Linked DNA regions of Sus scrofa. The protein of the gene in region 2 purifies or fractionates together with the protein of the main gene of each other region. This does not show direct contact. Links are inferred from orthologs where the notes say so. Each region holds a gene or a part of one and is shown on either strand. Other genes may lie near its edges. The genes, in order: RRP1B, RPL4 and SERBP1.

Region 1 (3,752 bases), on a different chromosome or scaffold from region 2:
CGGCGGCCCCTCTCGCGCGCTCAGCTCCAAACTCCATTCGCGAAGGTCGAAGCTTTCTGACAACAGGCTCCGCCGGCGGCGGCGGCGGTGTCTGCCCCAGATAAGGGAGCCTCAGTCCGGCCAGCAGGTTAAGGAACTGAGACGACCCCATGGACTGGGAGACATCGTTTGGTCCATTCACTAGCCCCCATATGCCCACTGAGTTCGTAACATATGGTGCAAGCTCTGGGTTCAAAGGTACCGGTTACGGGAGTTCCCGTGGTGGCTCGGTGGTTAACGAATCTGACTAGGAACCATGAGGTTGCAGGTTCGATCCCTGGCCTCGCCCAGTGGGTTAAGGATCTGGCGTGGCCGTGAGCTGTGGTGTGGGTCCAAGACGCAGCTCGACCCCGAGTTGCCATGACTGTGGTGTAGGCCGGCGGCCATAGCTCCCATTAAACCCCTAGCCGGCGAACCTCCATATGCCGTGGGTGCGACCCTGGAAAAATACAAAAACACCAAAGAAAAAAAAAGGTACCGATTATCGCACAACTAGGACTTCTGTCCAAAGCCGGACACAAGCCGACACTGTCCGAGTGCCCGGAGTACGCGCTCTCCAGGCCCGCGGGTGCACGCACCAGCACACGCACCCAGTCCTCGCCCCGGCTCCGGGCGCCCCTCCAGCGGGCTGCCCGCAACCTCCCGCCAGAACCCCGTTCCCACCGCGGCCCGAGGAGGCCAACGTAAAAACCCGGTGCCGTGTATCTCCCGGGAACAGCTGCGGGTCGGTTGGATGGAGATTTTGTGAAGTGGGCAAGATTCCAGACCACGCAAAACTGGCCCTCCGTCTCTTCCCGGCCTACACCCAGCGCTGGCTAACCTCGCCCTCAACGGCCCGAGCCTTGGCGACCGAGAGGCAGCGGCGGCGGCGGAGAGGCGCGACGCGCACCGGAGGAGCGTCGCTCCGCCGGGGCCCGGCCCGCAGCTCGCGGAACGCTCTGCGAGCGGCGAGCGGCGCCTTTGTGACGTCATCAGCCCGCGCGCCGGCGCCTTCTGCGCAGTCGCGGCACGGCGGCGGGCGCTCGGCGGCGGCGGGCTGCGGCCGGGGATGCTCCAACGGGCGCGATGGCCCCCGCCATGCAGCCGGCCGAGATCCAGTTCGCTCAACGGCTGGCGTCCCACGAGAAGGGCATCCGAGACCGGGCGGTGAAGAAGCTGCGCCAGTACATCAGCGTGAAGACACAGAGGGAGACAGGTGGGCTCCCTGCGGTCCGCCGCGCACATGGCGGCCGGGGTGGGGGAGCGGGGGTGAGGGGAGGGAGCCGCGGTGGGGGGGGGGTCCTGGCGGGAGTGGGGGGCGGGCCCGGGGAGCCGCGGGCGGAGCGGGGAGAGCGTGCGGCACAGCCGTGTGCTTCTCTGTGTCCACTTCCTGCGGGGTCTCCACCGGTTCTCCGGTTGAGCGGCGGCGGCGGAGGGGGTTAGGTGGTCCGCTGAGGGTCCCGGTGAGCCGGAAAGCCGAGAACCGTCCCAGTCTGCCCTCCCAGAGCTTGCACGTGGGATCAGTGCACTCACCTGTTTGATTCTGGTGCGCTCTTCCTTGAGTCACGCCTTCAGTTGACCAGGACGGAGAAGTCCGAATCCCTACCCCCGAGGAATTTATCCCGGGAAATCTGGCGGGGGGGGGGGGGAATAGATAACTGAAACGGAACTCGTGTAAGTGGAGTAAAGGAAATGAAAACCGAGGAACGGGGAAGCTCCTCTCCAAAGACTGTTGCAGGGAGGCCTCTCGGGGTGATGTTCTCCAGATCTGAGCCGGGGCACGAATGAGGAGCTGGAAGAGCGGTAAGTGAGAGAGAGGGAGGGTGTTAGGACGCGAGTTGGGAAAGTAGGCAGTGGCCAGGTCACAGCGGGCTCTTCAGTTTGGGTTTTAACTGCAGCGGGGTGCCATTGAGGAATCGTATTTACCCGGTCCGGTGTAAACCTTTGAAGGCATGGATTACAGTGCGGTGAAGTTTTTTATTGCACTGAGGAAAAGTCCGATTTGCTGCTAGTGTTAATACATTGAGTCTGTTTTAAAGAATGGATGTCTCCCCCTGTGCTGATCGCTCAGTTAGCCTTCTTTTGAAGGCTTCTGGGAAAAAGAAGATAAACTCTCCTGGGAAGTCCTAGGAAGAGGAACGAAGCCAGACTTCCTGACTTCAAATCTGTTAGGGTCTTCCTGACAGACTTGATTTCCTCTTATTCCATAAATGTTGTGTGTTCCTAAACCGAACTTTCTAACCCAGACCTTTGCTGCTTGCAGCTCAGATATGCCCTTCCCACCTGGCACCTCCACCTGGATGTCCTCAGGCTTCAGAATGCCCCACAGAGGCTCATCTTCTTCTGCTCTTTTATTTTGGGCACTAGTTCCCATCCTCCACTCAGACTCCAGTTGGACGCAGGGTATATGGTCCTGGACGCCTCTTCCTCTTTTTGTCCCCCAGCCCTGCATCTAGTGTCCTTTGGTCGCATCTCCTAAATTTCTCTGCCCTTACTGAAGGCTCCTCCATCTCATCGAGGCTTTGACACGCTTACCTCCTAACTGATCTAACACCTGCATGTGTGCCCCCTTAAACCCACGCTCCATGAAACAGCCTGGCGCATCTTCCTGAAACAACTGTATCACCACCTTCCTGAAGTTCTGGCCTTGCTGGTGGTGACATGTCCTCCTCTGTCCCCCACCTCAGCCCCTGTGCGGCTGCTTCACACTGGGTCCTGGGCTACCGTACACCATTCCTCCACACTCTCCCACTTTCGCCTCTGTTCACTCTGAAAAGCTCCCCCGCCCACTTGATCCACTCACAGCAGTCAGTCCAGTATCGCTTTTCTGAAATGCCTTCCCTGTCCTCTCCCCCCACTTCTCTACAAGTCTGAAGTGTCTGATATGTCCCCATTGTGGCACTTAGCTTATCTGCTGATGTGTCGTTCTTCCCCCAAAATGCCGTAAGCCTCTGTCTGCTTCCTTAGCTGGAAGCGGGAGCACATCCCGAGGTCCCAGGGCTGCCAGGGCACAAGAACAGGAACCAGATGCAGAAGCACAGGGCTGAGGCAGCCGGACAGGACCCGGTGCTCAAAGCTCTGTGGGGAACAGGCTCTGGCTCTGAAGTGCTGAGGTGCTGCGGGGGCAGGAGGCCAGGGCATGCAGCGGTGCCCAGGGTCCTGCCTGGCGAGCGCCCATCACACCTCAAGCTGCTTCCTGTTAGACACCACATCCGCAGTCTGGGGAGCCGAGTGGGCCTCGAGGAAGGTAAACGCAAAGTGCATGTCGTAGGAGCTCCCTCGCAGCTCAGCGGGTTAAGGATCCAGCGTTGTCGCTGCTGTGGCTCTCGCCACAGCTGCGGTTGGGTTCGGGCCCTGGCCAGTGAACCTCCAAGTGCCGCGGGCACAACCAAAACTAAATAAGGTTTCGTTGACGGTGATGACGGGACGAAATAAACAAGATCCGTGCCACAGCTGTGCTCCATCAGAGTAGAAACAGGTGTGGAGGTAACTTGGCCTGACCTCTGAGTCTCACTAACAGGCTTAAGTTTTTGTATTTTGTTTTAGGCACAGTAAAGGCAGTGCGAAATGGCAGTCTTACTGTCTTTTAGCAACATAGATAGCTTTGATTTTTAGAAACAAATTGGAGTTCCTGTCATGGCTCAGCGGAAGCGAATCTGAGTAGCATCCATGAGGACTTGGGGTCAATCTGTGGCCTCGCGCTCAGTGGGTTAAGGATCCAGCATTGCCTTGAG
Region 2 (3,149 bases):
GATACCTCAAGCTATGAATCTTGAGAAATGTCAGAAGGAACAAAACCAGATGCAAAACAAGACACTACCATATTTAAACAGGGAAGGACAGGTTAGTTCTAAGTTGGTAATGCATAAACAGCTTTGGAAAAATGTTAGGGGCCATTCTTTGCAAAAGCATGTTTGGTCAACATACTCACCCCCCTGTAAAGAGTAAATGTTCCCAGCACTTTTCATACCAATGTTTCAAATATTAAAGAGGGTGGCAGGCTTTCCTTTGTCAATTGTATCCTATCACACTATTGCTATACTTAAGAACAAGAAAAAAAAGTATTCTGATTTTGCCCTCTTGTGGTTACAAAAAATGTCAATCCTTTCTGGAACTTTATCCATTTTCCAGAAACCTAATCGTTTGTCTAATCTGAGATTTCTCACAAAATTAATTTTTATTTGGATATATGGAGCATGCTTCTTCTCATTCAACTTCAAGGACTCAGAAATCCAGGGCTCCGTTTTACACCAGACAAAATGGCTTGAATTATGGAGGAAAAAAGTGTCAGTAAAAAAATTCTAACCAAGATTCACACAACACAGGTAAGTCATGTTTCACACTGCTGCTTTGATCAGGTCTTTATTCAAAATTAGCTGTCCAAGTGATTTGACTTTTATGGACTAAACAAATTTAAGTTTATGCAACAGCCTTCTTTTCTTCTGTGGTGGGCTTCTTTTCTGCAGGCTTCTTTTCAGCTGCTGGTTTCTTGGTCACTACAGCCTTTTTCCCCACCAAAGGCTTCTTCTGCTTTTTAACGCCAACAGCCTTCTTGCCAATAGCCTTCTTTCCTTTCTTCTCTACCACGGGCTTCTTGTCTGGAACCCCCTTCTCACCTGATTTGGCTTTCAGTGCTGCTGCCGCCTTATCCATCCGGATTTTGTGCTGCAACAAATTAGGAGAAAATCTAAGAATCACATCTTCCAATTTTCACAACTTAACATATCAAGAAAACTCAAAATTATCGCTTACATTCCTGGCCTGGCGAAGAATGGTGTTTCGGCGCATTGTCTTTGCATACGGGTTTAGCTTCAACATGATTCTCAGGTTTTTCAGTGGATTCTTCTTCAGAACTCTACGATGAATCTTCTTGCTATAAAACGGTAGGTACTATGTTAATATTTACATTATCTACGTTTATTAAATAACCAATAAATAGGGCAGGAATTAGTGTGTGTATCACAACTTTACCGTGGTGCGCGGAGGGCTCTTTGGATCTCTGGGCTTTTCAAGATTCTGCTAAGGTCTGTATTGAGCATCTTATGCATGGGAAGGCTGAAAGAAAAGAGAAAATGTTTACAATAGTCTCAATTCAGATTTCTCAGGTTAGAGACCCTCAACAAAAGACTTTTAACCATTTAAGCTCCTCAGAATCCAATCAGAATTTCCACTATACTACAATTTCTCAGACTATTTCACCATTTCAGTACATTGCATCTTTACACAAGGGGAATTAAGGCAACAACCCATATTCAGAAAACATGCAACCCAACTTCAACAACATCCACAGCATAAACATTTGTGTTATGTATACAAATTATACTCACTTGTAGTTACTCTTGAGGGTAGCAGCTTTACGCCAAGTGCCATAGAGCTCATCTAACTTGCGGAAAGCACTTTCAGTCCAAATGCAGAAACGTCCCACATGCCCACCAGGAGCAAGTTTCAAAATGTTCAGTTTGCTTACGTTAAGCAGAGTAATTCCTTTAAAGAAAAAAAGAATGAGGGAGCCTGTATTACAACAGAAGCCCCCCCCCAAATCATCTTTATAGCACCTGAGAAGTATTTTAATTATGAATTTCAACCATAAATGGTAAACTCATTCAGCCAAGATTCAGAAGTTCCACAAAATCATGTGTTTCAGAAACACGGACCATAAAGTGGAATCTCATCATAATAAAAGCTTGAATAGTATGGCTAATTAAAACATAAATAGTACAAGATTTACCAGGGATGTTTCTGAAGGCTTTGATGATACCATTGTCCTCATTATAGATGATGCAGGGTCCCCTGCGCTGGATTCGGCGACGGTTTCTCATTTTGCCTTTACCAGCTCTCATTCGCTGAGAGGCATAAACCTAACAAAGTGGGGTGTGGTATATTGAGATATGATCCTTGCAACAGATCTTCATAATTTAAAAAACTCCATTTTACAGTTGATGAAATTTAAGGCATGAATAGCTTGCCTAACATTAACACATAGCAACAAACGGCACTCAGGATTCAAATTCAGATGTTTCAGGATTCTACACTCTCATATCCACTAAGGTTTAGTTATACTGTCCCTCCAATAATCTTTTGAAATTTAAAATCTGACAAATTTGTGTGAAGGACTATAAAACCTACCTTCTTGATATCATTCCAGGCCTTAAGCTTCTTCAGAAGCAGAACAGCCTCCTTGGTTTTTTTGTAGCTTTCAACTTTATCTTCAACCACCAAAGGAAGTTCAGGAACTTCCTCAATCCGATGACCTGACAAAGCCAATTAACGCAGACGTGGTTACCCCAATTCCTTTGATAAGTTGCATCAAACTCACAAAATCAAAATGGTATACAATCTGCCAAATCAGAATTCTCACAAATATCATGTTTTTCAGAAACACGGACCAATGAAGTGGAATCTCATCATTTTGACAGTTGTATCAATATACCAAATCACTGTATTTGAATTACTCCCCTAGGTACAAAGTATTCATTAATGACTGAGTTTTTAGACTGAAGTGGTCATAACTAGTATTTAGCAGAGGGAAATTTAGCCAGGCCCTCTAAGATGAAGAGAATTTATACAAGGTATCAACACCAATGAAAACTTTCAGGTGAAGGAAAAAAGGAGCATTTCATACAACTCATAGAAAATAAAATATCACAAACCTTTAGACATGACCAGCGCTGGTAAGGCTGAGGCAGCCAGTGCAGAGCAGATGGCATATCGCTTCTGTGTTGTGTTCACTCTGCGATGCCAACGTCGCCAGGTCTTGGTTGGCGCAAACATGCGGCCCCCACGACACATCTATGTTCCCAGTTAAGAATTACATTTCTCAAATTTTAGCAATTAAGAACAGGTTATGCCTTGCTCAGTAGGAGTTTTCGTCACCCTTCTGAACCAGCTTACTGACAGCAGG
Region 3 (3,652 bases), on a different chromosome or scaffold from region 2:
AGCTGCTATGGCTCAGATTGAACCACTGGCCTGGGAACGTCCATATGTGGTGGGTGCGGCCATTAAAAAAAATAAGAATAATAAAGAACGCTAGTGAACTGATAACATATTCTTCTGGCCCCTGCTCTCCTCGAACATGTTAAAACAAGCCAATATTATGTTCCAAAATCTATGTTGATGGGAAAAAAACCCTCAAAGAGATGGAGGAGCTAATTTTACAATGATCACATCTTCTAGTAATAAACTGTCTCAGAATAAAATCTGTATAGTTACAGAGTCCAAAGTACTTTAAACTAAGTACTTCCAAATACTTTAAGTTCTCATATATTTCAACCACTTGGTCTAATTGTTAGAAACCCCCATTTCAGCTTCTAGTTCCCCCTATTCAATGCCTCTGAACAGCTGGCACTAGAAATTATCCATTATAACTTCTCTATCAAGTATGTAAAATGCATGACATAGTATTTCTATTTTCCATTCTCCAGTTAAAACAGCTAATTTCTGTGCTTAGGGCTAACAGATTTTACTAAAATACCTATTTTCCTTATCTGTTTAAGATGGCAATGGTAATTTCAAATAGAAATAACCACTTCTATTTGTCAAACGATTAGAGCCCAACACATTCATGGGTAAAGCATTCCTCTAACCACTATTTGAGAGAATGGAGTACAATTAAGTCTCTCCTGTTAAGACGCAATAAATAATAGGATTAAGCCTAAAGGTTGTTTTCTTAGTAAAGCCCAATATTTCAATGCTGGAACATTACCACTACACACAAAAATCACTTACTTATTTTCTGTGTCCGCAACGGGATGTTCTTCACCTTCAGGTGTTTCCTCAGTCACATTTGATTGCTCCAAGTCACTGCAATTATAAGATATTTGTTTCTGAATGTATTTTGGGGACTCTCTAGGGAAAGAAAGAAAAGAAAAAGGCAACTAGGTCCATTTACATGTAGCCGAAAGGTTCTTTATACAGAATATTTTTAAAATCTCACATTCCCAAAGCTTTTTCTTAAAAAATTTACTCCCCAGTAGACCACTAAGAAAAAAATACTAAAATGTGTACTGATCCAAGTTTATAGTTCAAGTACTTTACTCAAAAATTAGTGCAAGAGAGCAATTAGTTCTAAAATAAGGCCTCACTGGCTTATCAAATTCATAATGACCAAGAAGATTAACAGCTAGAATAAGAATTATTAAATAAGAAACACACAACATCAAAATACCCAATAACGTCAATATAGGATTTAAATAAAAGCTATATATCCATACAAAAAATTAATATCACATATTTTTGAAACACAGAAGAATGGTCATTGAATACATTATAACCCAAACATATCCACCAAGGCATTCATTATCTTGTAAGGAAGTAGCTCTGAGATAAGAACACCCATTCCTTCCCAAGGACAAGTGAAAATTTAGTAGAATTATGGGCAAATCTCTAACAGGGTATAAGACCAATTTTACTTAAATTATTAAAAAAAAAAAAAATACCAACGTTAATTCATCTTTGACAGTTCCCCAGTTGTGAGATCCGCTACCTCCACGTTTGTCCTCATGCTTCAGGCCACTGTAATGTGAAAAAGAACTAACAAAACTGAGTTAACATAATACTCTTTAGTTCTAGAAATTCAAATTTTGTTTTATTAAAGAAGTATACTCAAATATAAAAATATAATAAAAACCAATAAAAGACTTACGATCTATCACTTCCACTATGCCTATCAAATTCACGTTTGCCACGAGAATCAAAACCATCTCCCCGGCCCATTCCACGTCCACGGCCTCCTCGACCTCTTCCAAGACCACCACGGCCTCGGATAGGCCGGTCAATAATCGGTCTACAACAAATAAAAAATATAACATAATACTTTTCCAGGTTTTGGAAAAAAGATTAAGGAAAATTCAAAGGCTCAAAAAGGCAAGAATATATTTACTGGCTCATATCCAACTGTTGAACACATGTTTTAGAAAGTTCAAAACAGTCTATTCTAAATACATAAAGGAAATCAATCAGAACTAGGAAACTCCCCAAAGTAAAAAAAAAAAAAAAAAAAAAAAATTATTTTGACATCCTCTTAGACTTTACTACTAAAGAATATATTTTTCTTTGTTACTCATTATGCTCTAGTAAAACTGCTATTCATCATATACTTAAACACTTCTAACCTGTATAAAACAAATAATCTATTCTGGTATAAACAATTACCCAAAAGGACTTTCCTTTTAACTCAACATCTGGGGATAGCAAGGAAAAGAAATTGTCCATCAATTCAACTGAAGTGTCCTCATTACAAGAAATCTAAGTGTGAATACTAAAAACTGTTACTGATAAAATTAACCAGCCACACTGTTTCCTGGCAACTATGCTCAATTTATAGTTTTGTGTTAAGATGTGACTCTATAAACTGACAAAACATAAAGAGATTAAAAAACAATCTTGCCTATCAACTGAAAATTCTCCTCCTTCACCCTTTTCTTCAAGTGGCTTTTCAAATCGTCTTTCACGAGGTGGTCGCCTTTCTGGTCTCCTATCAATTATCTTCCCTTCACCCTGAAGTTGTTGATCAGGTCTTCTTCCAACACGTCTTATTCCTAAATTAAAAAAAAAAAAAAAAAAAAAACACACACAAAAATCCATATAAGCAAATTATTTTTGCAGCACAAAAAATTTAGACCTAGACTGCTAAAAGAAAAATTGCTACTCCAATTACCAACTGCTACTCCAAGTCCAGTGCTAGTCTAGCTAGAACTTCCTGTTGAAAAAGACTGAAAGTGGGCATCTGAGGTGTAACAAAGTACTTTAGAAAAATTCCTAAAGACAATATACTTGTTTTAAACTTCCATTTAGTTTGCCAAATCATTTTCTCCTAAACTATTCTCTGTAACTGCCTTGGAAATTATCTGAACAGCCATTACTTCCCTTGCTTTTCAAGATACTAGTCTCAATTTAAAATTCTAAACTTATTTAAGGCGAGTGACACATTTTGGTTTTAAAGATATCAAATAGCCATTCATAAATAATCAAGCAAATTAATGCCATCACCAGATAAAGACATCCCCCTCACCCCCACCACAGTTAAAGCCATATTATTTTCTATAACCTGGGGGGGGGGGGAACAGCTGAATAAAAAGACTGATAATTCTATGAAATTATAAAACTGAAAGGAAAACAAATGACAACAGTTATTTTATTATTATGGGGAGGTTTTTTTAGTTTGCCTTTACAAGTATCTTTGTATCTAAAGAATCTTTAAAAACCACACACGCGGAGCCGTTTTAAGCAATAGTTAAGAAACAACAGAAACTAAATGATGAATTCCCCTTATTTTTTTCCCATTAGTGTCAGAGGCCAAGAAGGCAACCAATATGCACTACTGGTGGCCTCAAGGATAAGAAGTAGATTGATGGTTAAATTCATGACGGTAAAATTTTAGGAATGCTCTAATTCCCAAACCACGGATTTCTGACAAAATCAAAAAGCACCTCAGGAATTGGCTTCATAACAAGAAATTAAACTGGCTCATTCTCCTTCTTGCTAAGAAAGTGTAACACCATCAGGATGCACCCAATTGCCCGGCTGCTTGTAAAGAGTAAAATGGTAGAGGTCAAACTCTTCAATGAAATTTTAAGGTCCATTCCACATA

Evidence for each region.
Region 1: the proteins of RPL4 (region 2) and RRP1B purify together in Homo sapiens (affinity purification with mass spectrometry; 3 studies listed by BioGRID and IntAct, with this or other methods). This does not show direct contact. The link is inferred for Sus scrofa from reciprocal best matches to the Homo sapiens genes RPL4 and RRP1B.
Region 3: the proteins of RPL4 (region 2) and SERBP1 purify together in Homo sapiens (affinity purification with mass spectrometry; 3 studies listed by BioGRID and IntAct, with this or other methods). This does not show direct contact. The link is inferred for Sus scrofa from reciprocal best matches to the Homo sapiens genes RPL4 and SERBP1.

What each region holds. Positions count from the first base shown.
Region 1 is NC_010455.5:206,628,145-206,631,896, forward strand, and holds the start of RRP1B (ribosomal RNA processing protein 1 homolog B), read left to right. Parts: upstream 1-1,031; 5' UTR 1,032-1,104; coding exon 1,105-1,234; intron 1,235-3,752. UniProt on the Homo sapiens protein: Positively regulates DNA damage-induced apoptosis by acting as a transcriptional coactivator of proapoptotic target genes of the transcriptional activator E2F1.
Region 2 is NC_010443.5:164,475,691-164,478,839, forward strand, and holds the end of RPL4 (60S ribosomal protein L4), read right to left. Parts: intron 3,038-3,149; coding exon 2,899-3,037; intron 2,500-2,898; coding exon 2,375-2,499; intron 2,107-2,374; coding exon 1,977-2,106; intron 1,733-1,976; coding exon 1,576-1,732; intron 1,304-1,575; coding exon 1,220-1,303; intron 1,122-1,219; coding exon 1,001-1,121; intron 914-1,000; coding exon 668-913; 3' UTR 579-667; downstream 1-578.
Region 3 is NC_010448.4:145,189,572-145,193,223, reverse strand, and holds part of SERBP1 (plasminogen activator inhibitor 1 RNA-binding protein), read right to left. Parts: intron 2,601-3,652; coding exon 2,450-2,600; intron 1,847-2,449; coding exon 1,706-1,846; intron 1,594-1,705; coding exon 1,504-1,593; intron 910-1,503; coding exon 790-909; intron 1-789. UniProt on the Homo sapiens protein: Ribosome-binding protein that promotes ribosome hibernation, a process during which ribosomes are stabilized in an inactive state and preserved from proteasomal degradation.